Linked DNA regions of Lytechinus pictus. The protein of the gene in region 3 purifies or fractionates together with the protein of the main gene of each other region. This does not show direct contact. Links are inferred from orthologs where the notes say so. Each region holds a gene or a part of one and is shown on either strand. Other genes may lie near its edges.

Region 1 (7,405 bases), on a different chromosome or scaffold from region 3:
TGGTCATTTGAATTGGTATTCAATGCTGATATAACGATTGTGAGGAAAGATTGTTGAATATGAGTTATGACGATGTTCGAGAATCGTGATATGATTGATAATCCATGTTTTATTTATTTTTAGACACAAGTGAAGAGCATGCAGGGATCAAAATAAATATGAATGTCATAGATCGAGCTCTAAATTTATATAAATTATTATTGGATGTTAAATATATTACGATATCATAAGATTTTATAGCCATACATGTACTAAAAATATTGGCAATGTCAGTAAAGTATTTTATGTTCATATGGAAATGTTAATACTGTCATTAATTTTATTCCATCTCTGGACGTCTCCGAGAAAAGAAGCACAATGCGCATGCGCATTCTATGACGTATTTTCCATTCATGAATTCAGAGCCCAAAGAGCACAAAAGAGCTTCAAATTGATGGGGAAAAATATCAAACGTAATTTTCTGTTTTGTCATGTAAAATGTTATCATATGGTGATATTACGATCATGAGAAGAGTTAATGCATATTGACAATGTTCGAGAATCAATCCTGACGTGATAATTTTTTTTAGACAAGTGCACTCACGTCGATCGTGATTTGATGTCCGTCATTCAAAATTAAAATGTAATACATGTTTCACATCAAGCTCTCAATTCATTTGAATTTAAAATGATTATCATATGCAAATTATTGTTAAAATATTACTATTAGAGGTCTAAATAATGTTCTATGGTCATGATATTAATATTGCGCGCTAATGCAGTTTCGCACTGGTCGATTACCAGCATACCTCACCACCAGTAACTGTTCACAAATGTCCTAGCAAGTCTCCCAGTCACATTTCGAGGTCAATATACCCACCGCTTTTCCAATTATTGTGATCAGGAACGGCTGCATTTTGGCTATGCTCTTAACATCGTCGTGCGAATCCTCAGTCATGCATCCCTTCGCTTGGATTCGCCGTGCACCATAATGTTGATATGGACTGAAGTTAGTAACCAAATCATGTGAACATGCTGCAAACAAACTGCCGGCATGCCGCAGCACGCAGGCGAGTCTTTTGGTCGCTAACTTCAGTAGTGACAGTACCATTATCAACATAACGGCCACTCACACGTATTGTGAGGTTAGTATTAGTATACTAACCTCGCACCATGAACCGCGTTTGGCAGTGGATTTCGAACTAGTGGGTCGCGCGTGCTGGGATCTCACTTCTGTTGTCCACAACACACGACTTCTAGTTCTATGGCTTGATTTTTCTGTGCGCGGCGGCATGTAATGAACCCTTGGGTGCATAACGGCGAGCGGCGAAGCCTAGTGAAGCGATGTTGGCGTTACTGATCGCGATATCCGGAAAAGCAGTCGGTATATTGACCTTGGAATGCGACCGAGACTGAGTGAGAGACTTGCTAATATCTAGTATGGCCTAAGAAAGGGATATGACATTTGCCACTAACACATGCATGCATGATTTGTGAACAATTTTTTAGATTCTACTGCCTTATAAAAATGGTAATCGTCCGGTGCGAAACTGCATTAGCACCTTAATCGTGTTAATATTGTTCATGAAACTGAAAGCGAGGTTTACTTTTACGTACGTTGATCGCGTCAATTTTCTGGTTTGATTAAAATAAAAAGCACAGTACTACCGGTATACTGCGCATGCGCAATTGATGGCGACGACTCCATTCATGAATTCATCGACAAGTAAGTCCAAGTCGAATTCTGATTGAAATAAAGTTCAATTCAAATTAGATCTAGGACATGTAGGAGTCTAGGACCCAATTCATAATTACACAGTTTCATTTTGGGGGAAACATAAATCAAGTAGTAGGCCTACCGTAAGGGCACTAGTATTCAACCCGTTTGGAGAGTTTCCTCAAATATATAGAAATATAGAATTTACCTGAATTTCAGACCCGTCTTATTTCCAAGAGCAAATGCTGGTTATTCTTTTTCCGTTATTTTTTTCTTCAACCAGTTGACTGTGTGCACGGGCGATCGAATTTTACGGCGACGGATTTTGGTACTAGTATTCAACCCGTCGGCACTAGTATTCAACCTAGCGATGAAAGATGGCCCTGTCTCTCAATCTGCCCTTGTCCCATCCGACTATGGACTAGACCATTTGAGATGAGACCAAACAGGGAATTAATCAAAGCCAGAGATTTACATAGATCTAGATCTAATTTAGCAATCTAAACCCTTTTGAATTTGAGATTTGCTATCAATCCTCACTAGGTTGAATACTAGTACCATTCAGTGCAAAAGGCCATCGCCGCATAATTCGATCCTCCGCGCATACAGTCGACAGATTGACAAAGAAAATATCGACAACAGATTACCCTGGAAAGAACAAAGGTGTGAAATTAAGATAAATTCCCTAGGCTAGGGCCTATTTGAATTTCTAAATATTTTGGGGAATATGTCAAAATCTTTGAATTATGCCGGGTTGAATACTAGTACCCATACGGTACTTAAGTTAGACATTACCGTTTATTTTGATGATTGTGTGAACCAAACGAAACGGCTGGCCGACGTTTGATCTTCTTTTTTTTTTCGATGCACCGAGTAGGCCTATTGCAAAATCTGCACCGGCGTTCGATGACATCGATCGAACACCGATTTTAAAATCGATTCGACTCAGGCTTAATTTTAACTACCAATTTTTAGCACCCCATTACCTTCACCGTCGTCTTCATCATAAGCAAATGTCAGCAAACTGGATCCTTGCTTTTTCTTCTCGGACTTTTCCTTCTTTTTGTTGGACTTTTCTTTTTCAAGTTGTTTGATTTGTGTGTGGTAATCCGTCTCCAAAAACGGAATTTGATTTCCTTTTGTGCTCACTGGTTCAGCTCTTTCCTCATCACTGTCACTTGTCCTACCCCTCTGCCGAATATTACGTTTCTTCTTCATCATCTTGATACTTTATTGGCCGAAAATGGGGGATTTAAGTCCTCAGACCCACAAGTACAACATGCCCGAAAATGAAATCAAGCAGTCGATTTTGTGTACAAAAATGAATGACGAAGTTTGCACGTTAGTTTTGTACATGATTTTGCTGATGCCAAATATGTATAGTCAATTCAGCAGCAGTATTATTTCCGTGAATATTATACAAGCACAATTCATTGCGGTAGCAGCGAATAGCTAGGATGAGCCAACCTCATCTCCACATACCGCGCTAGGTAATGATTTTCATTATGTACTTACTTGAATGTGAATATTATAAAAAGAGAAAATTGTTGATAAAGAAATGCTGCTATTGAAATAGACCTATATCAAACTATGCAAATCCAAATTATCTATGCAAAGGGCAAATAATCTATTATCCTGATCAAATTATATCACTTTATATTGCAAACTCAGTTTGAATTCATCATTCCATATTATTTTTAAATCATTAGGCCTATATTAATAAATAATAAAATAATAATATGAACATTTGTAATGCGCCGGTATCCATCATAAAAAGATGCTCATGGCGCAATAAAGAAAAGAAAAGAAAAGAAAAGGAAAAAGAAAAAGAAAGGAAGGAAGAAAGAAAACCTACTAAAAAGAGGGGTAGAATAACAATTACCTAAAAGCTTGCGTGAATAACCAGGTTTTAAGAGAACTTTTGAAAGTGATGAGACAAGAAATATTGCGGATTTCTATTGGCAGTTTATTCCATAGGAAAGGCCCAGCATGTTGAAATGATCGATCCCCCCATGAATTATGAGATTGTGGTACAGCGAGTAAGAAAGAACTAGAAGACCTAAGGTTGCGAGAGGGATTGTATGGAGTAATCAAAGAAGAGTTGTATATTGTATTTGTTATTGTTATTGAAAGTGTTTTGGATTTGAAATATGTTATCTGCTGTTTGTATTTTGTTTGGTATTATTGATGATTTCATGCAAATTTTTCTTTAAAGTCTGAATAGATTGAAGCTTGAAACGTGTGTGGAAAAACCTGCACGTTTTGACAGTGGATAATTATTTTTGATATTTTCCATGCAGGATTGTCACGCTTTCAAGCTTTGCGTTTGTGACGACCCTTGCAACCATTTTATTCATTGGGTAACAGAAAATACCGCTTAGATTGTTTATATATAGTACATTTGATGATTTAATTTGTTCATTATCTGTGATGTCGAATTCTAGATATGTATTTTCTTTTCGAGATCTTTGTTATGAAAAATGTTGCAAAACCAATAATTAATAAGGTTCTGTATAGGGCATGCCATTTCAATGATTAGATATCACTTTATTGAAATCACAATAAAGGAGAGAATATACACATAGCATAAAAAGATTAAGATAAGGGCCTAGCTCATGAATCATTACTGTCAATGCAGGGCAGTAGTATAAGCATGATACAGTATTGATAACAAAAATGGGGGAAGGACCGGAGATGATACCCCCGGGGATACCCCCCCCCCCCCTCCAAAAAAAAAAAAGAGAGAAGAAGTTTGGGCCGAATTTCCATATGACCCATTTGAAACGAATTCACTCTGTTGTTAATGACGATTTCCATCCATCTATCTATCTATCTATCTATCTATCTATCTATCTATCTATCTATCTATCTATCTATCTATCTATCTGTCTACTTTCTTTCTTTCTATATATCTACCTATCTTCATATATATCTATCCATTTGTTAAGGCATGGGTAGAATATTCATCAGTGATAAATATTCTACTTTCCTCTCTGTGAAATATCGCCCTCTATAGAGAGCGTAGAAAATGAAATTGTATCAACTGGGGGAACAGAAATAAACGTGCAAAACACATGAGATGTTCTTTCGAAGTTTGGAGATACATGAGGGAGAAAAGAAGAACAAAAAAAGTTATAATGGTTCATTATGATTTAATTTTCTGATTATCATGTCAAAATCTATCGCAAAATGGATTTTTACTTCAAACAGATTAACATTTTCGCTCGCTCGCAACTTTTCAGAAATGTTACCTCATACACCATGTTGTCAAATTATCTTGGCCCATTTACTTGAGCACATTGTGCAGCCTTGATAATTTTATGGCCAAAAAACAAACGCGACGATTACTACTTATTTGCAAACATTTGACCATGCATTTTACAACTGTATTTGCTTGTATACACTGAACATGCTGAAACAAATCGAGGTCGCTTTCCATTTTTACAATCAACCGTCTGAGCATGTGGAATGAAAGCTCATCTCCCAAATTCAAAAATTTTCCTGAGTTGAAAATGAAATGTTTGGCATTTCAAACCCGTACATTACCACGACATCAATTTGTTCTAAACCGAATGACTCAAGACTCACTCGTTGATCAAAGTTTCAATCAAGGTCAACCCAATCGGCGACACGACATTTGCTCCTGCGACATTTGCTCCGGTCCATCTCAGGAGAGGGCATATAGGGTTCGAGTTAGGATTGCAGTAGTTTCTCGGTTCAGAATAATGTAATAATAATGATTAGGGTTTAATTAGTTTGGGAGGTTGTTTCATGTTTGGCTTAACGTGCAGATTTTCCATCGGAACAATGGTCGCCGGAGCAAATGTCGCCAGAGCAAATGTCCAAATGTCATGGAACCGTTCAGACCCCCTCCCCTTCTCTTCACTCCTCATCCACTTTGAACAAGTGGAAGGGGGCAGTTCTTATATCATTATCCTGTTCAATAATCGTCCGTCCACGTTTGACCTTTCACATTGATTTTATATTTTTACCACACCATTCCTTCTTCTCCCCTTCTTTTTAGAGGGGGGAGGGGGTAGCGGCATTTGTCCATTGGACAGGACCCCTGGACACTGAAACAACACGTGGAAGGCGTAAACCGTATTTGTACATCATAAACTAACCATGAATTGACCATGAAAACGGTTTGAATTACCCCCATGAATAGAAGAACAAAGACGTCCTAATGACCCCGACTGCGCTCACTAGAATTTATATTATCTGATTAAAATATTAATGGTTTGTTTCTTATTTCTCCAAGGGTTTATTCACGTTTTTGTAGTTATTATGGTTTATTGCAACAAAATTACTTGGTAATACGTTAAGCATGTCCAGGAACAAAGTAGGCCTACGATCTTTCACTTCAGTCGTAAAAGCAACTTTGTTCGAAAACGGTTTCCTGCTTTCATTCCCCCTTTCTTTTTTTTTCTTTCTTTCTTTCCTTTTTTTTTTTTTTTTTTTGGGGGGGGGTTAAGAACAATTCTTATAGGCTTATCTCATTTAACCCATCTTGAATATTGCCACCAGTAGGCCTAACCTTTCAGAAAAGGGGAAACAATTTTCCCCAAAGTTTAAATCTGAATAAATACCTGCATGCATTTATCATGCCTTGGAGAAAAAGGGAATGCTCATTTAGCGCGCTGTGGATAATTAATAAGTGAAATGACACTATCTTCATAAGTCCCTTTATATTGGAAACTTTAAAATTCAGCTATAGAATATACCAGACTCTTAGCTGTCTCTGAAGTATTGGTATTATGAGTTTAGGGAGTATAGGCCAACTGACATTTGGAGTTTCTTTCCTATGGCTTTCATTTGAAAATCCTCATGGACTACTATTCTATTCTGGATTCACTTCTGGTTTATACCTCGACATCTGAAAATAAAACACCGGGAAAATAAAAGTCAGGTAGTAATTGGATGGAGTAATAAATCATTGGCTATTATATGTCAATATCTGAGTCTTTATCACCGCTGATGTGTCCAACGACCTACCAGTCTATTCCTCGTAAAATGGAGGTATTTTTTGTTTGCTTTCTTTGGAAAGCAATATCAACCCACTTGTTTCAATGCACGACTCTCCTTCAGACTTCCTCGTAATAATAATAATACACGGTGGAGGCATGGAGCTATGTAATAGCTCCATGGTGGAGGTATGGGTAATGCACTGCAGCAGCGGCATGACGAGTAGTTTGGACGAGAGAGTGAATCGAACGAGCGCAAAATAATATTTGGAAGAACAGAAATATCTTCCAAGACTTGCACATGTCAAAAATCAAGTAGTTCATAGATTCAAGGAACCGTGATGGAAAATACAGTAAAAAGATTGATAAAACATGAATACAGGCCTATAGGCAGTAACAAATTTATAAGAATTGCACCCCCCCCCCCAGCGAGTCGCATGGAACTGGAAAGCTAAATGAAATAATATCCTGTAATAAATCCTGTAAAACTAAGGAATAAAACCTCCATTCCAAACATGTTTCTGAAATATAGCCTGTTGTACATACAGAAATAATGATTTTCCATATGATTGTTTACTAATTTGAATAATTTTGATTTGATTTGATTTATTTATTTACCAACAATATTCACATATGGCATAACAGTTACAAATGTATAAAAATATCAATGTTTTCACTGTATTTTTATACATAGGCCACAGCGTATTATCTTGTATTTATTGTTTTGATAACGTTTTATATTACG
Region 2 (7,503 bases), on a different chromosome or scaffold from region 3:
TCTTTGTAGTCGATTTTTTTTTTAATAGCGTACTTTCATGACGAATTACTTCATTCTCGCCTGCTCCTAGATCGGATTTAATAAGAAAATCAATGTTTCTTTAAAAAAAAACCGCACCCCAAACCCCAAATAACACCCCTAAATTCATTAAAAAAAAATATATGAACGATAATTTTCTTGGAGTATTCGCAATTTGTCCGAAAATTATTCTTATTGTCCTCGTCCTTAAATTTACCACTCGTGACGTTGTCCTAAATGTCTCCGGTTCTGTCCTAATACGATCTGCATGCTGTCCGCGCCGAACGCCGACAAATTGATTTAGATAATCTTGTCACAGGACAGTTCCAGGAATGTCCTACGACAATACGCAGACAGTCCTGATCGTGTCCTAGGACAAGATCATTTGCATAATCTTTTACGGAATTTGGTTGCCGACAGCATGCCGAAATGACAAAAGTAGCTTCCGCAACCCTTCCTGGTCTTGTCCGCGCCCTAGTGGAAAACCGCCTTAAAAAAGCAAGCTGTGTGTCTCGAACAATTAAATGTGAGCGCGAAGCACGAGCTTAATTTTTTGTATATTGACATGATAAAGGAGCATTTTGACAAATTTTGGAAAGAATTTCCAAAGAGGATAGGTATCTCACAAATCAAACAATGCGAGTGCGCAGCGCGAGCTGGAAACTTTTATATAACAATTTGTGTAAATCAAACAAAATAATGAAAGCTTGAGGTGCGAGCTAAAACATTGTGTGCAAATTGATTTCAGAACTGGATATATGAAATGTCATTTAATTCTCTTGAATGGGATTCATTACAAAGGCAATGCGAGCGCGAAGCGCGAGCCACTTCCATTCACGAGTGGATACCATGCGCGACCATGGGGTCTCGAAAAGCACCCTAAACACGTAATTTCCATATTCTGAAAATGCGCCCCTTATACGAACCAAAAGTCCAGTTTTCTGTCTTATAATTTACTTATTTTTTTACTTATTTACTTATAATTTTAAAAAAAAGAAGAAAAGAAAGGAGAAAAACAACGTAAAGGAAAACAAGTACAGGAATGTTTTATTGTTACGGGTCCTTCGGTCGTCGGCTTTACCTTATTTGGTTTAGTACGACCCCACCTTCTACACCTCGCGCAAATCGTGACTCTAAATACGAAGTGTTGGGGCAAAAAGGACATCCTTTATAAAACATTTTAATTTTGTTTTATCATCCCCGCGAATTCGACCCTAAACACGTAATTTTCCTAGCGAAATAGATACCCTTTTTTCATTATTTTTGTGTTTTTGACACCCTTATCACGTTACGTACATAACGTGCCCTATCGTGAAAAAGACATCCTTTTTACGTGTTTTTTTTTTGGTCGCGCATGGTATCCACTCGTCAATGTAAGTGCCCCCCCCCCCCGCGGGGTTCAAACAAGGACAGAAAATGAGCTATGCCTATATTATACGAATCGCTTCATATTTATCCTCCTAAACATTCAGAATCCATGTCATATTCATCATAATCTCTAGATTTATAGAGAAAAAAACAGCAAAAATATTGCTCTACAATTCTAAAAAGAAGGGTATATACATGTATATATTATTTTAATTATACGAACCAAAAGTCCAGTTTTCTGTCTTATAATTTACTGTGAAAATCACAAGAATTTGATTTAAAAAAAAATAGGTAGGCCTGTACAATTTTTCTTTTAATTAAAAAAGAAACAAAAATAGAATGGACAAGAAAGGAAGAATATAAAAGAGAAAAGAAAAATATATTTAAAAAAAAAAGAAGAAAAGAAAGGAGAAAAACAACGTAAAGGAAAAGGAAAAGTATTTAAACAAGGACAAAAAAATGAGCTATATGCCTGTATTGTCTTGAAAATGATTTTTTTTTTAAATAAGATGACTGAGACACGTACTGCACTGGGCCATGTTAAACCAAGAAAAGAATATAAACCAACAAAATTCTACTTTTAGTTAACGACAGATCGACCGACTGAAATGTGGATGAAAATATTTTCTGATTCTCCCTTCTTTTCCCCCTTTTCGCGAAAGGTGCATGGATCCTCCCCTGTATAACATACCCCCACGACTCTCCCTCCTTCCACCCCCCCCCCTTTGGCGAAAGCTGGATACTCCCCTGTACCCCCTCCCCCGTATCCACAAACATTATCCCAGCTGCCCGTATCCTCGTATCCACGTATCCGCGTATCTTCGTATCCATGTATCCAGTTATCAGTACGGGAGTAGTATCCACGTATCCGCGTATCCACGTATCCTCGTATCCATGTATCCAGTTATCAGTACGGTAGTAGTATCCACGTATCCGCGTATCCACGTATCTTCGTATCCATGTATCCATTTATCAGTACGGTAGTAGTATCCACGTATCCCAGTATCCACGTATCCTCGTATCCATGTGTATCCACGTATCTTAGTATCCATGTATCCGCTTTTATCTCAAAAACGTAATTTCTAAATAAAAAGTTAACAAGTACCGGTACGTCGTATCCGTTGTTTTCTCGTTTTAAAATCTAGAGATTTTTGTAATCGATTCATGACATTGGATTCTAAAGGTAAGCCTAATTATGTTATCTTACTTCTTAGAAATGAGCATGAAATATGGACAACACATCATACAAAGATACATGATAAGAGCCATTACCATTACTAACGCATGCAATTCCTATACACACATTTCCAATGGGAATATCACAATTTCGTGATACAATCATATGGATTGCCCAGGAGCTAAATCCCCAGCCAGATCATCTGATTGGACTTTTTTTTTAGAGCGGTTAGCCAATAGTTTACTATAAGTTTACTCACTCATTCAATTAACAGTCATGAAGCCCATGCTGTGGAAAAAACTATAACTATTTTTATAGATATAAATAGACCTGTAGTGTAGGTACATGATAAAAAGTCAAAACAAAAAGAATCATACCCAGACATCAAGCTTTACGTCTTTCACTGTTCCAGTGCCACTGTAAATATCCACACTCAGCTGATCGAGAGTCAATTTCTCCTCCAAGAAATTGCCGACATATCGCTGAAGTAAATACCTGCATGCCTTTTTCTTTATGTAATCAGGCCAAGGGAAGTACCACGGCATTTTACTCGATGAACTTCATTCAAAAAACGAAGAAAATAAGGCAGAAACCGCTAATGATCGATGTTTGGGATTTCCCCATGAGTTCGTTCACGTCATTCGGCCATTTTCTATGTTTATCAATTTGTTATGATTTTCATTTTCGCCAAGAGAGGGCGTTTACATTTTCGTCTCGCTTTAGCTTTGTTTCCATTACTTATTTTTCCACGCAGGGAGGGTGACGTTTTCAATACTATTGTGTGTCATTAATTCAGGCTCGCGCACAAATCGTAAGCATTTGAGTTTTTTTCAAAAAAGAGAAGAAAAAGTTCATGCGAACTCAAGGACACACTCGCGCGAAGTCATCGTGAAAATTCGGCTAACTCCATTATTGTCAGGGTTCAGCAGGCAGATACGAAACGTGCAAGAGAACGTCGTTATGCGCATGTCTGTTTCTACAATGAAGCGCTTTTCGCCTGCCCTGGATGTCTAATTAAAGTGGTTCTTGCTTAGCTACTAAAAGTGGCTGCATGACCCAAAGTTATCAGAAGTTAGTTCCATCTCACCTGAGAAAGCTCCCAGTTGCTCCTGATTAGCAGCACGCGAGTTCATTTACTTTCCTCAACTTTTCTCAGTAGCCACCCGCCCACCAGATCTCGAAACGATCCGCAAGTCCAACTCTCGATTTACTCGTTAGTATCAGGCATCCAACTCTGCTCTCTTGCCCACGCATTCTCTAATTTCCCTCTACTTGGTATCAAACCTGTCTTTCATCACAGCACGTTTTCTCCTCGTCCTTTACTTTTATTCTTCTCTCTTCCTTCGGATCTATCTGCCCTGCCGTCCGTCTTTTAGTTGACTTTCAAACTCAACCCTTTTCGCGACGAGGCGGAAAAGAGTAACGTCAAGAGCAAATATACACTCGGGGTCAGCATCTGACTACTCTTTACTGCTGCTAAATTATTTTGATCAAACAGTGCTCCACTGAGTGTGGAGTTCTAAAGTCTAACTCCCATCATTTTTTTTTTAAACTTTGATTATTTATTCTCAAATAAAGGCAAGGCATGATAGGAATGATCAAATATTAATAGGCTGTTTGCTGAACACAAAATATCATCTCCTTTCATTCTGATTTCATTCTCGATCGTCAGGTATTCTTCGTCTGAAAAAAAGGGGGACAGTATCATAATGGAATCGGCGCCGACGATCACGATGACCACAGGAGCCCGCCAGAGATCTTTTAAATGTGAGCCTGCAGATTGTGACGCCAACGGGAATGTGCCGTTCATGAAATCGGCGAACATGACTTTGTCTCCGTTAGTGAAAGATGGGAAGGGTTTCACGACGAACGGTCATTTAATTCATGCAGAGTACTGTGAAAATGGAGACAGTAAGTACTCCGGAGGCAGGCTCGTGAACGGAACGGCATCCAATGGCAGCATCCCGCATCACGCGGTAAACGGGGAAACCCCGAGGAAAGCACCACCATCGTCGTCATCGTCAACTATCTCGTCATCGACGACGAAACACGGGTTTCCGGTCAGCGTCAAACTCTTGATGACGGCTGCGTCCGGTGTCGTCTTCGGCTTCGCGATGGAGAAAGGAAGGGGTAAGTCGATTTTTATTGAAACATAAAATATTGAATCATGAAAAGAATAACTTAAACAAGAAAAATATGAATTACATGTTCGTGCATATGAGATCCCAATGGGCAATATTATACCTTTGGGAATGTTGTCACGCCTGTGTCGAAATGGTGCACTGATATTGAGGGCTGAGATTTGACGACTACATTTTCTCTGGAGAGCGTGCATGCGAAGGTAGTGAGTAATAAAGATTGGCAAAAAAACCCCACATTTATCAAGTTATCATAGATTTGGCATGTGAAACGTAAAATCGGCCAAAACATTCAAGGAAATCTGATGAAAATCATGTTTTTCAAACAAGAGTTATTGAAATATAATGAGTTTTACTTTATGTGGGAGGGCTCCAGTCCCCCACACCAATAATGTATGTTGATGTTTAATTAGGTTAATTAAGAGGGATGTTCTAGATTACATTCACGGAACACGATGGTTCTTTGATTAACACAGAGATGGAATCTAAATTTATATTTCCATTGCACCTATGAACAATATACATGTGAACGTATGAGAGCAGATAATCTGCGCCAAATATGTATATATATAAAAATTATTTGCATGTAAATACTATCATTTTACAGTTAACAATATTTTACATAACGTGAAGAATGGGGGCCAATAAAACATAGTCAGATATGACTACAGACACACCGTTCAGATCTCACGGACATCAACGCCCAACACTCTTTAAAAAATAGTAAACTTGACTAGATTAGTATAGTCAGCAAGGTGTATCCGAAATTACTTTGTTGTAGTAAAATGAGACTATATAGCATCGATCCAGCTGACTCTTTTACAGCTAATCACTTTTAAGTGATTTGTTTTAAGAGTTGCAGCACGATCCCTGAACACTGATTCCAAGTCAATCAAACAACCCTTCCGCAACCCTTCATGTTTACTGATATAATTATTTTGCTGTAACCCTGAATCCCAAGGGCACTATACGATTGCAGTCAAAATTGACACCATTCCATTTTATGAATGAATTAAAGGTTAATGTGACCAGAATATCCCCGCTGGAACGAATACAATGTGATCACATGTGCGTTCACATAGTGAACTATGTGAAAATATTATTCACACTAGCTGTTAAAATTCTCAAATTCAACAATGCATGTGAAGCTATATTTTCAATCTGTGGACAGCTCGAGTGTGAGCGTGTTCACACAGTCGACTGTATGTTTGAATATGTGATTAACACTGTTGAAATGCTCAAATTAAACAGTGTGAAGGTGAGTTCACATTGTGTTCCACGCTATGCACTCTCTGTGATACACACACCGTGTTCTACCAAGTAGGGATGGTATAATAATGTATATCAATTTTTGACCTTAGAATCATTGCGAATTTATTTCTGGTTTGAATCGTTGAATAGTCGAATCATTTTCATTTCAAGAGTATAAATAATTTTATTCGATCTGTGTCTATTTCGACCATACACTCTGAAGGATTACATGAGAAAAACCGATATATTGGTGAATATGCACGTGTCCACCCCCAAAATTGTAAGAATCAGTCAAACTTCTGTTACGTTTTAACAATTATCATTCGGTAATATTGACCTTCATATTGTGTTTTCGTCGGACACATTCACGAATAGATCGGATGTTTTGACAGATCCTTTAAAGATTGCATTAAATAATGAAGTCCTGTGTGTTTATATATATTTTGCTTGTACAAAAGCTGTTAATTATTCGTTTCATAAATTTATGAGCATACAAAAGATCTCATTTCTTGTTTGGTTATGAGATTTATTGAAATACATAAAATATGCATTGAAAATTGTACTATCTTCAGTTATATCAGAATTTAATTTTTATTCGGTTTTCTTTTTTTGTATTGCTGAAGATTTTATGTTCGAAATTATCTAACCCAAAAACAAGGATTGTGAAAACATTTCTTGAGCCTTATGTTTCTTCACTCGGTGATATGTGCATATTATGATTGATATAAATTTTACTAAAACTTAAAATAAATTGATGTCAAATCGGTGATTTTGAAGAGACGGGGAGGGAGCGGGGAGAAGGAGAGGCAAGGGAGAGGGAGGTACATAGAGTGGGAAGAAAAAAGAGATTGGAGGGGGGGGGCCCACTTCTAAGTAAAACCTCAGGACTGTGAATTTTCTATCCAATGCCACTATATTTTGTGTTGTTCTCATTTGCTTGATATTCAAAGATTTAATCGTTTGTTGGGATAGGATCTATGTGTGTTTAGTTCATAAAATATCGTTATTTCATTCATTAAAATTACAGATATTTATTGAATCCGAAAAGTTTACAATCAAATGAGATTAGATAAAATATATAAATATACATCATCCGATTGTGGATTTTTTTTACAGTAGAAAGTAAATGGAACCAATATTAAACTCTTGAACACAAAATATTTGTTTAGAATCGTCTGCATAAATAAAAGGAATGCTCCGGGCCAAAACATACATTTGACATAAAAAGGTACAGTCAAATAACTAAAACAATGAAAATTTCATCCAAATCGGATGGAAAACAAGGGAGTTGTTTGAAATGTGAAATTGTGCACCATTTCAATAAACTGATTTTATGCAGGTCTTCGTGAATATGTAAAGAAATAAATAATGATGTCATAATCGCATTTTCTATGAAATATTTAAGAAAAAACATTTTTTCCTCGTAACCGAATAAGTTACAGCAGTGATGATACACATGAAATGAGTTGCAAATCCTATTTTTACATTTCTGTAGTAGATAATGGAAATTATTACATTTTATCATAATACAAAGAAGTAGGCAAATATAAT
Region 3 (7,598 bases):
AACATTGCCAAAATATCGGTAAAGTTACCAGGTATCGGTTTAATTCATTCAAAACAGTATTGTATGGCGGTACAATCTGAAAGGTTTACGCCAAAAGCATTATATTGATTACTCGTCCCCCAAAACCAACAAACATGTTTGAGTTTAAATAGGTGACAAGAACGGCTGGACAAAAGTCATGAAATTTAACGATTCAGTCATGTATAATTTAAGATATACTGTCAGGAAAAGGAAGCTTTGAATGATTTTAGGAGCTAAGGGCCATGAAAGATAGAATGAAGGAATTGTGATCTGGCCTGTCAGTTTTCGGAAGATTCAATCAATGAATGTTTTAAGGTTTATTCAAGAATTTGTGAAAGCCTGCCCTGAAAATCTGATACTTGAAACACATTTTTAACCTTTTCTGCCCCCTAAGAAAAGTGAAACGCATCGTACATGATTAAATCAACAAAATAAAATTCATGTCCCCTTAACAAAATATATGACATAAACATACACCCAGCTGCACATGCATTTACGGGGGTTGTCATTATCACGGAAGGACATAGCTCTGGAAGCAAATTCTCACTGAAAAAATGCTCCTTAATAATAATGAAAAATCAAACAAACTAAAGAAGAATTAAATAAAAACGCTAACAATAATAAGCAGAAAGGCTTCCTTTTCCCCTCTCACGCACACGCTCACACATTCAAACTCTAACCAATCTCTCTTCACTCTTCCTTTGATTTATCATCACCAAACACTCTCCAATGACCATCGTCATCATCATGGCCTTCATTTTCACCATTGTCACCGTCATCCTAATCCTCACCATCTCCATCTTCATCATTAAAATTATAAACAAATATTGCCATTCTGCTTTATAAATGTTTTAATCAATTTAATGAGTGTTAATCCGGGCTTGTCATTTTTGTTCAAAGCAACAATGACAATCCTCCTGCAAACTGTATATGTTGAAATTATTTGGTAGTAGATCAGATCTGTTTCGAATGACTTTTTATGTAGTTCATTTTTTTAATGATTCATGCCAAAAAACACTAAGCAATATATTATGTTTGTTATGTAATGAAACATGTATTACATATGAATGTTATGATTGAAGAAGAAAACAATGAAATCAACTCAAATCTCGTACCACACATCGCCTCAAACACACAAAAAAGGGAGTGAAGAGAAACAGAAAATTACGGAAGCTTGTAAGTGCCGTCTATATTTTATCGTGCCAAGCACTACATGGCAATTTGCCAACTATAATTTGAGTATGTTGCCATGTCGACTTCGAAATCATACATCTTACCATGGAGACGTCTTACCAAGTCGACTTTTAGACAGTTACATGTCGCAATGGCAATTTAGTAAACTTCAAAAAGGTTTATAGGTCGTCATGGCGACATAAGTCATTTCTCCAAGTCGACTTTTAGAGACTTAGATGTTGTCACATCATAGAGAGTAAAATGATAAAGTAAACTTCTGGAAATTTATACGTTGACATATGAACATAACTTATCTTTCTACATCGACTTTATAAGAACTTTGTCACTATGTCAGCATAATGAATTTTGTGAAGATGACATTTTTGACTTTTTTAAGAGCTTGAAAGAAAATGAAGAAAATAATTTCGGATATTCTACTAAGTGTAGTGAGGACTGGTACCAGGGGCGGCGATCCTAGCGGGACTGTGGCACAGCCCCCCTCAACTTTTTGAAGCACTGAAAAAGTGCCCTTTTTATGCGAGAAAAATGCCCCCTCAAAAACATGTACTGTGCCCCTTTCACATGCGGACACATTTTAGGTGTTACCAAGTGCCCTTTCTCTTTAATATAAGTGCCAATTAAAAAAAAACCTCTTGAATATGTTTTGTGCCCTTTCCACCTGAGAAGGACCTGTTTTATGTGTTAGCAAGTGCCATTTCTCGCATTAGTGCCCATTTTTACCCAAAATTGCCCCTCACGAACGTGTTCTTTGCCCTTTTCACCTGAGAAAGACCCGTTTTATGTGTTAAAGAGTGCCCCCTTGCCTTCTTGTAAGTGCCCTTTCTTGAATCAGTGCCCCTTATATGTATAACTACTCATGAAGGAAAACACTTGTAAGAATAATCCCGCGTGTCTTAAGTTTCATAAGCCATGTGAGTGGGGGTAGATAAGTCTTTTTTTCTTTGTTTTAAGATAGTGCCCTTTTCGAAAGAAAAGGTGCCCGTTTCCCCTGTGCCCCCCACTTTTAACTTAGCTCCGCCGCACCGCCACCGACTGGTATTCATATCACATAATAATATTTATCTTATCTAAATAAATAATATTCTGCCCTTTTAAATCCCCCTTACATGTAGCATCGGCTTCAAAAGAATGACTTTTAGATCAGGAGTAAATATTTTGTAGCTTGATGTAATTACTTCCAATTTCATAACACCTTGTCCGAAACAAGTACAATACTAAAAACTGTTTTGAAATCACGTTCATGCAAAATTAATGATTGCCGTGCGGTCCAATGAAACTAACTGGTCAGTTGGCTGAATATATACTCCTTGCTATCTACTGAAGATAACATTCAATTTTATCTTCAGTAGATAGCAATGAGTACATTAGACTTATTTGACGGTGTTGAAACGGGGTTCTACACCCGCTATTCTTGAAGATCGCTATAGTCGTAATCGGAAAAGGGGCCTTCATTCATAAAGGCCGCTGTTCATAATCACATGAGAGGGTCAATAATTGTAATTGAATAAGATGGTCGATAATATTAATCAAATAAGAGAGTTGCTAGTCATAATTTAATGAGAGGGTCGCTATATATTCACAAGCAAATAAGACGGTTAATATTCTTAATCAGGGTCAATAATCCAAATTTTTGATAGGATGTTCGATTGTCTTTATTAAATGAGATGGTTGCTATATACCTGTAATTGAATCAACCGATCAGGAGAAGGATATGCAGAAGCTAAATTCCATTTAATTTTACAGGCGATTTCAATTTATAATAACAGTCGTACCGTAAGTGAAACTGAAACGCATAGTACACACCTAAGTATGATGGAAACCCATGCAGGGGGGGGGGGTAATGTGACGGCATCCTAGATGCGAGAGGCGTAGCAACCGAGCCAGAAAATCGTTTTAATCAGTGAAACTTATACCATTATTTTTACCTTAAAAAGATACCCTGCATCGAAGGGACAATTATGATATACATAAGTTTAGAGACCGAAAGAAAGTCTACTATTTCATAAATGAAATTTAGAATTTTAAACCCCAAAAGCGCTGTGGAAAAGGGCAAGAATAATAATTTAGTTTTCGCCCGTCAACATGAGCGTTGTACCTACATGTACAACACAATACATAACAGTACTATTGATATTGTAGTAAAGAGATGAATGTATGTTATATGCCTGCGAGAGAGCGTAACGACCGTGTAAGAAATTTTGAGTTTATCTTGTGAAACTTTTGAACCCACGCAGGAATCAATTAGGGCACTTTAGTAGAAATTAGTACATTTACCCACGACACGGTAACCAAAGGGCCTAAAGTGAGACATTCCATTGAATGGGGCCTTTCTTCAGGAGTAGAGGTATCAAGTGTGTGTGTGTGTGTTTTTTTTTTTTTTGGGGGGGGGGCTATTTAATCTTGCACAAAAATGCCCCTTCATTGAATCTCTTATTGATAGGGTTCCAAGTGCCGAGTTTTGGGTCATTTGGTGAAAATAGCATATATATTATTTTGCTTATGATACGGTCTTGAAGGTCCAAATATATTCCAAGGTCCCCTCCCCAAATTTCCTATCACCAAAAGCAAAAATGATTTTTTTAAAAATGGGAAAAGGGTGAAATAATTTTTTCAAATTGTTGGAATCTAACACAAAATATGCTTATCATATTAAAGAACGTCAAAATGTTTGCTCGCTTGCTTCACTCGCTTGCAACATTCTAGAAATCTTGCTCCATAGGCCTATATGTTTTGCCCATTTCCAATGACAGAGCCCCGCCTCCAATTAACTCTTACAAGAAAATAATTAAAAGACGAAAGCCCTTAAAAACTGCGTGATAAGAGATACATAATCAAGCTGATATAATTATGTTATAACTTTCGACCATTATTTTGCTATAAAATATAGGCCTAGATAGGAATCCATTAAAAAGTTTTATGAATCTAGATTATTTCTACGCATCTTTTTTTTTTATCCAGCGTGTTTAAACAATAAAAATAACAATTATGCTTGCTTGAAACTAAGATTCATTTCATTATCATTCTATACAAACTTGCATACTTATATTAATACACAAAACAATATTCATTTTTGTGTATGTGCATAAAAAATATACATTTTCAGGGTTGAGAAGGCCGACCCTCCCCGCTTAGAAGGAGAGCCCCCATAATGGACCCCACATGCCTGTAGTCGTGAGTGCAGTGAGCTTTCCAAAAAATCTTAGTTTGATTGAAAAAGGAATGAATCCTAGCCAACATTTATGTAATAAAATAATGAATTAAAATTATAATATCAAGAAAAGGGAGGTGGAGAGTTTTGGTTTACCGAGAGTTTACATGACATCCATTGACAGGTACATGACGTCAATCATGAATATTCATTAGTACGGTACCGTAAATTTGGCGAACATACGGAAAAGCTGTGGCCTGTGCGAGTTATTAACGAACGGTCCTTTCCAAAACCCGGGCCCAGCGCGGCCCCGATCACGATTGTCTGATTTTCGCTAGATTGCATATATTGCGACGTATTTTGGTTCAGGTGCTACCAACGATGTTCCGTATAGGTCTACAATTTCTACAAATATGGCAGAATCTGGAGACAGTTTGCTAAAAACCACAGACGGAGAAGTTGTATTAACCGAAGGAGAAAGGAATGGGAATAGAGAGAGTAAACATTGGTAAGAAACACGAGAAATATTCTGACAAAAAAAAAATCAAAATCATAAATGGAGTCTGGACTCTGGAGATGATTAGACTCTTTTAACGTTAGAGCCGCCTATTTTAATTTTTAGGGAGTAAAATAATTCACTATTATTAAACGATAACGTGAGCTTACAATATGTTAGTGAATGATTTTTACTCTCTAACATTAGGAGCCTCCTGGCCAGGGGCGGAAATCTTTCCCAAAAGGTAGGGGGGACAAGGCAGGGCTGGAAAATTTGACAAGCAAAAAAAAAAAAGGTATCATCCCAAAAGTAAGGTCATCTCGTCCTAAAATACATGTTTTATTTCGATTTTTAATGATGTATTTCTTACCATCATAAAAGACCACAAATAGTACTTAGTAGGGGGGACATTTGATAATATTGTGTCCCCCTACTATTTTGAGTAGGGGGGACACGTCCCCCCTGGGATTTCTGCCCATGGCAGCTCCTGGCTAGGGATGACTATAGGTCTAGTCTAGAATCAAGATCTAAAAATTGTGACATTAAAACTCAGAGTCAAGAAAATAGTGTCATGTTTTTAGATGATTGATGGAGGGGGGGTGGGCGGAGATACCTGCCATTGGACAGTACAGTGACAGCATCCGCGACAAAGAAAACATGGGAAAAGGGGTGTGTATTTTGTGGGAAGGTGCGGAACATGAATAGGGGGTGTTGCAAGAAAATAATTGCAATCGCAAATATTCTGTTGCAATTCTACAGTTGATTGATCACTTTTAAAGATAAATTCCAGTTGTGGGAATGATCTCAAAATGACTTTTTACAGAATTTAATATAATGATCACCAAAGTGTCTGTTTGTATGAATAAAAAATATGTGCCAAAGGATTCTGGAAGAAATTGTGTAATTGCTGAGAAATAAGCAAAATAAGCGCGGATTCGGTCACTTCCTTCGGGTCTTTATTCCAGCAATAATAATACACTGTCCCACGTGTGCCTATCTGTGTCGGCGATCTTCAGTGTGATCATTTTTTTAGCTAGATATTATGATTCCACAAAGTTCAGTTTATGTAACTGTACCAGATCTAGATCCACGATGATATATCAATACTTTACCTTGGTTTTACAGACTTTCTCACGAAATCAGTGTTTTACTGCAACTACGTTCATTTAGCTTTAACAAATCAGATTACACTCCTTGTTTCATGGAGCAGATGAGCAATCAATTAATTGCATGGCGTATGATTGATTTCGGGAACGAAAATAGACTTGCAATTGATCGCAAGTTTCTTGCAACGCCCCAAATGAGGAAAAAAAGAAAAGTCCCCTAGATCTAGATCTCAATGGTCTGAAATGCGAACACTGATATGTCCGCACTCCGCACTCGAATATACTGTACCACTACCAAACACAGGGTATGTTTAGTGCATGCTGCATCAGTGGCCTGCATCAGTGGCCTCATTCACTCATGTTCAGTCATTGAATCACCCATGGAAACAACATGCGCTGCGCATAGAAAATCACAGGCACAACGCATGTAACACGTCCATGGGATTGTGTGAAATTCCAATGCCTAATCACTACATTAATAGATTTAAACTATAAACTTACCGAACAATATGAAGTCACTTTCCCGCTTTTTCATCCTTCTCTTGATTTTTCCAAATGATTTTTCTTGATGTTGACGAGAGCCATTTAACTGTCAAAGCGATATAGGAATTTTTCACCTTAAGAGGGTGCACAATTGACACTACATCATGGAAAAGATGAGGCACTCAAACTATTTTACTAGCAAATCAATGCAAAGTGTCATGCAAGTCGGCAATATGTTCAGTCTTTTCATTGTAGATCTATAGACTTTGGTATACCGTTTGTTGACAAACGAACAAAGGCATGTATGGTTGGAACTACCCCTTATCGACCACCTAATCTGCAAAAATATTTATCAGTTTTTCCTTATTTTTCACAAAACAGTGATATGCACAACTTGGTGAGTCAGTCGATGATGTCCATCACTCACTATTTCTTTTGTTTTTTATTGTTTGAATTATACAATATTTCATTTTTTATAGATTTGACAATAAGGACCAACTTGACTGAACCATATAGTATTAAACAATGCTAATTACACATGTTCAGGGAGGAATTAATTGTTGTATCACTTGACAATGAGGAGAAAATTATAATATTTCATATAATAAAATACAAAAGAAATAGTGAGTGGATGACGTCACAGTCTCCTCATTTGCATACCAGCCAGGATATATGTGCATATAACTTTTTGTGAAATTAAGCGAAAATTTTTAAAATGTCATAACTTTCTTATTTTACATCAGATTTTGATGAAATTTTCAGTGTTATGCTTGTTGGATTTTTCTCTTTTTATTCAAATAAACTTTTTGTTGGGGTGGACTTGTCCTTTAAGGATCCAGGCTATGCCTTGCCTACAACACACTAGTGTTAAAGGTGCAAGTGGAAACCAGTTGTTGTAGAGAAAGCCAATATGTGTAGCATTGGCTACAACACTGAACTTCTCAATGGCTAAATTGGCCACTTTGCATTCAATTATGAGAAGTTAAACTAAAGGTTAAACTAAATTTTTTTCAAATGAAAGTCCATCAACTTATATGTAGTTAATTATTTAACTATTAAACATGTATGCAAAGTACATGTATACTTTGTAGGCAGAGTTGACTTTTACTGTTTCTTGATGGTTCCTGCCATTTATACTCAATTCCAAATG

The links.
Region 1: the proteins of histone deacetylase 11-like (region 3) and PAX3- and PAX7-binding protein 1-like purify together in Homo sapiens (co-immunoprecipitation; 3 studies listed by BioGRID and IntAct, counting the BioPlex papers as one, with this or other methods). This does not show direct contact. The link is inferred for Lytechinus pictus from reciprocal best matches to the Homo sapiens genes HDAC11 and PAXBP1.
Region 2: the proteins of histone deacetylase 11-like (region 3) and autophagy-related protein 2 homolog B-like purify together in Homo sapiens (co-immunoprecipitation; 3 studies listed by BioGRID and IntAct, counting the BioPlex papers as one, with this or other methods). This does not show direct contact. The link is inferred for Lytechinus pictus from reciprocal best matches to the Homo sapiens genes HDAC11 and ATG2B.

The regions. Positions count from the first base shown.
Region 1 is NC_087248.1:6,350,363-6,357,767, forward strand, and holds the start of PAX3- and PAX7-binding protein 1-like, read right to left. Parts: upstream 3,074-7,405; 5' UTR 2,918-3,073; coding exon 2,683-2,917; intron 1-2,682. UniProt on the Homo sapiens protein: Adapter protein linking the transcription factors PAX3 and PAX7 to the histone methylation machinery and involved in myogenesis.
Region 2 is NC_087251.1:38,311,845-38,319,347, reverse strand, and holds the start of autophagy-related protein 2 homolog B-like, read right to left. Parts: upstream 3,109-7,503; coding exon 2,941-3,108; intron 1-2,940. UniProt on the Homo sapiens protein: Lipid transfer protein required for both autophagosome formation and regulation of lipid droplet morphology and dispersion.
Region 3 is NC_087247.1:25,632,807-25,640,404, reverse strand, and holds the start of histone deacetylase 11-like, read left to right. Parts: upstream 1-4,576; 5' UTR 4,577-4,776; coding exon 4,777-4,871; intron 4,872-7,598. UniProt on the Homo sapiens protein: Responsible for the deacetylation of lysine residues on the N-terminal part of the core histones (H2A, H2B, H3 and H4).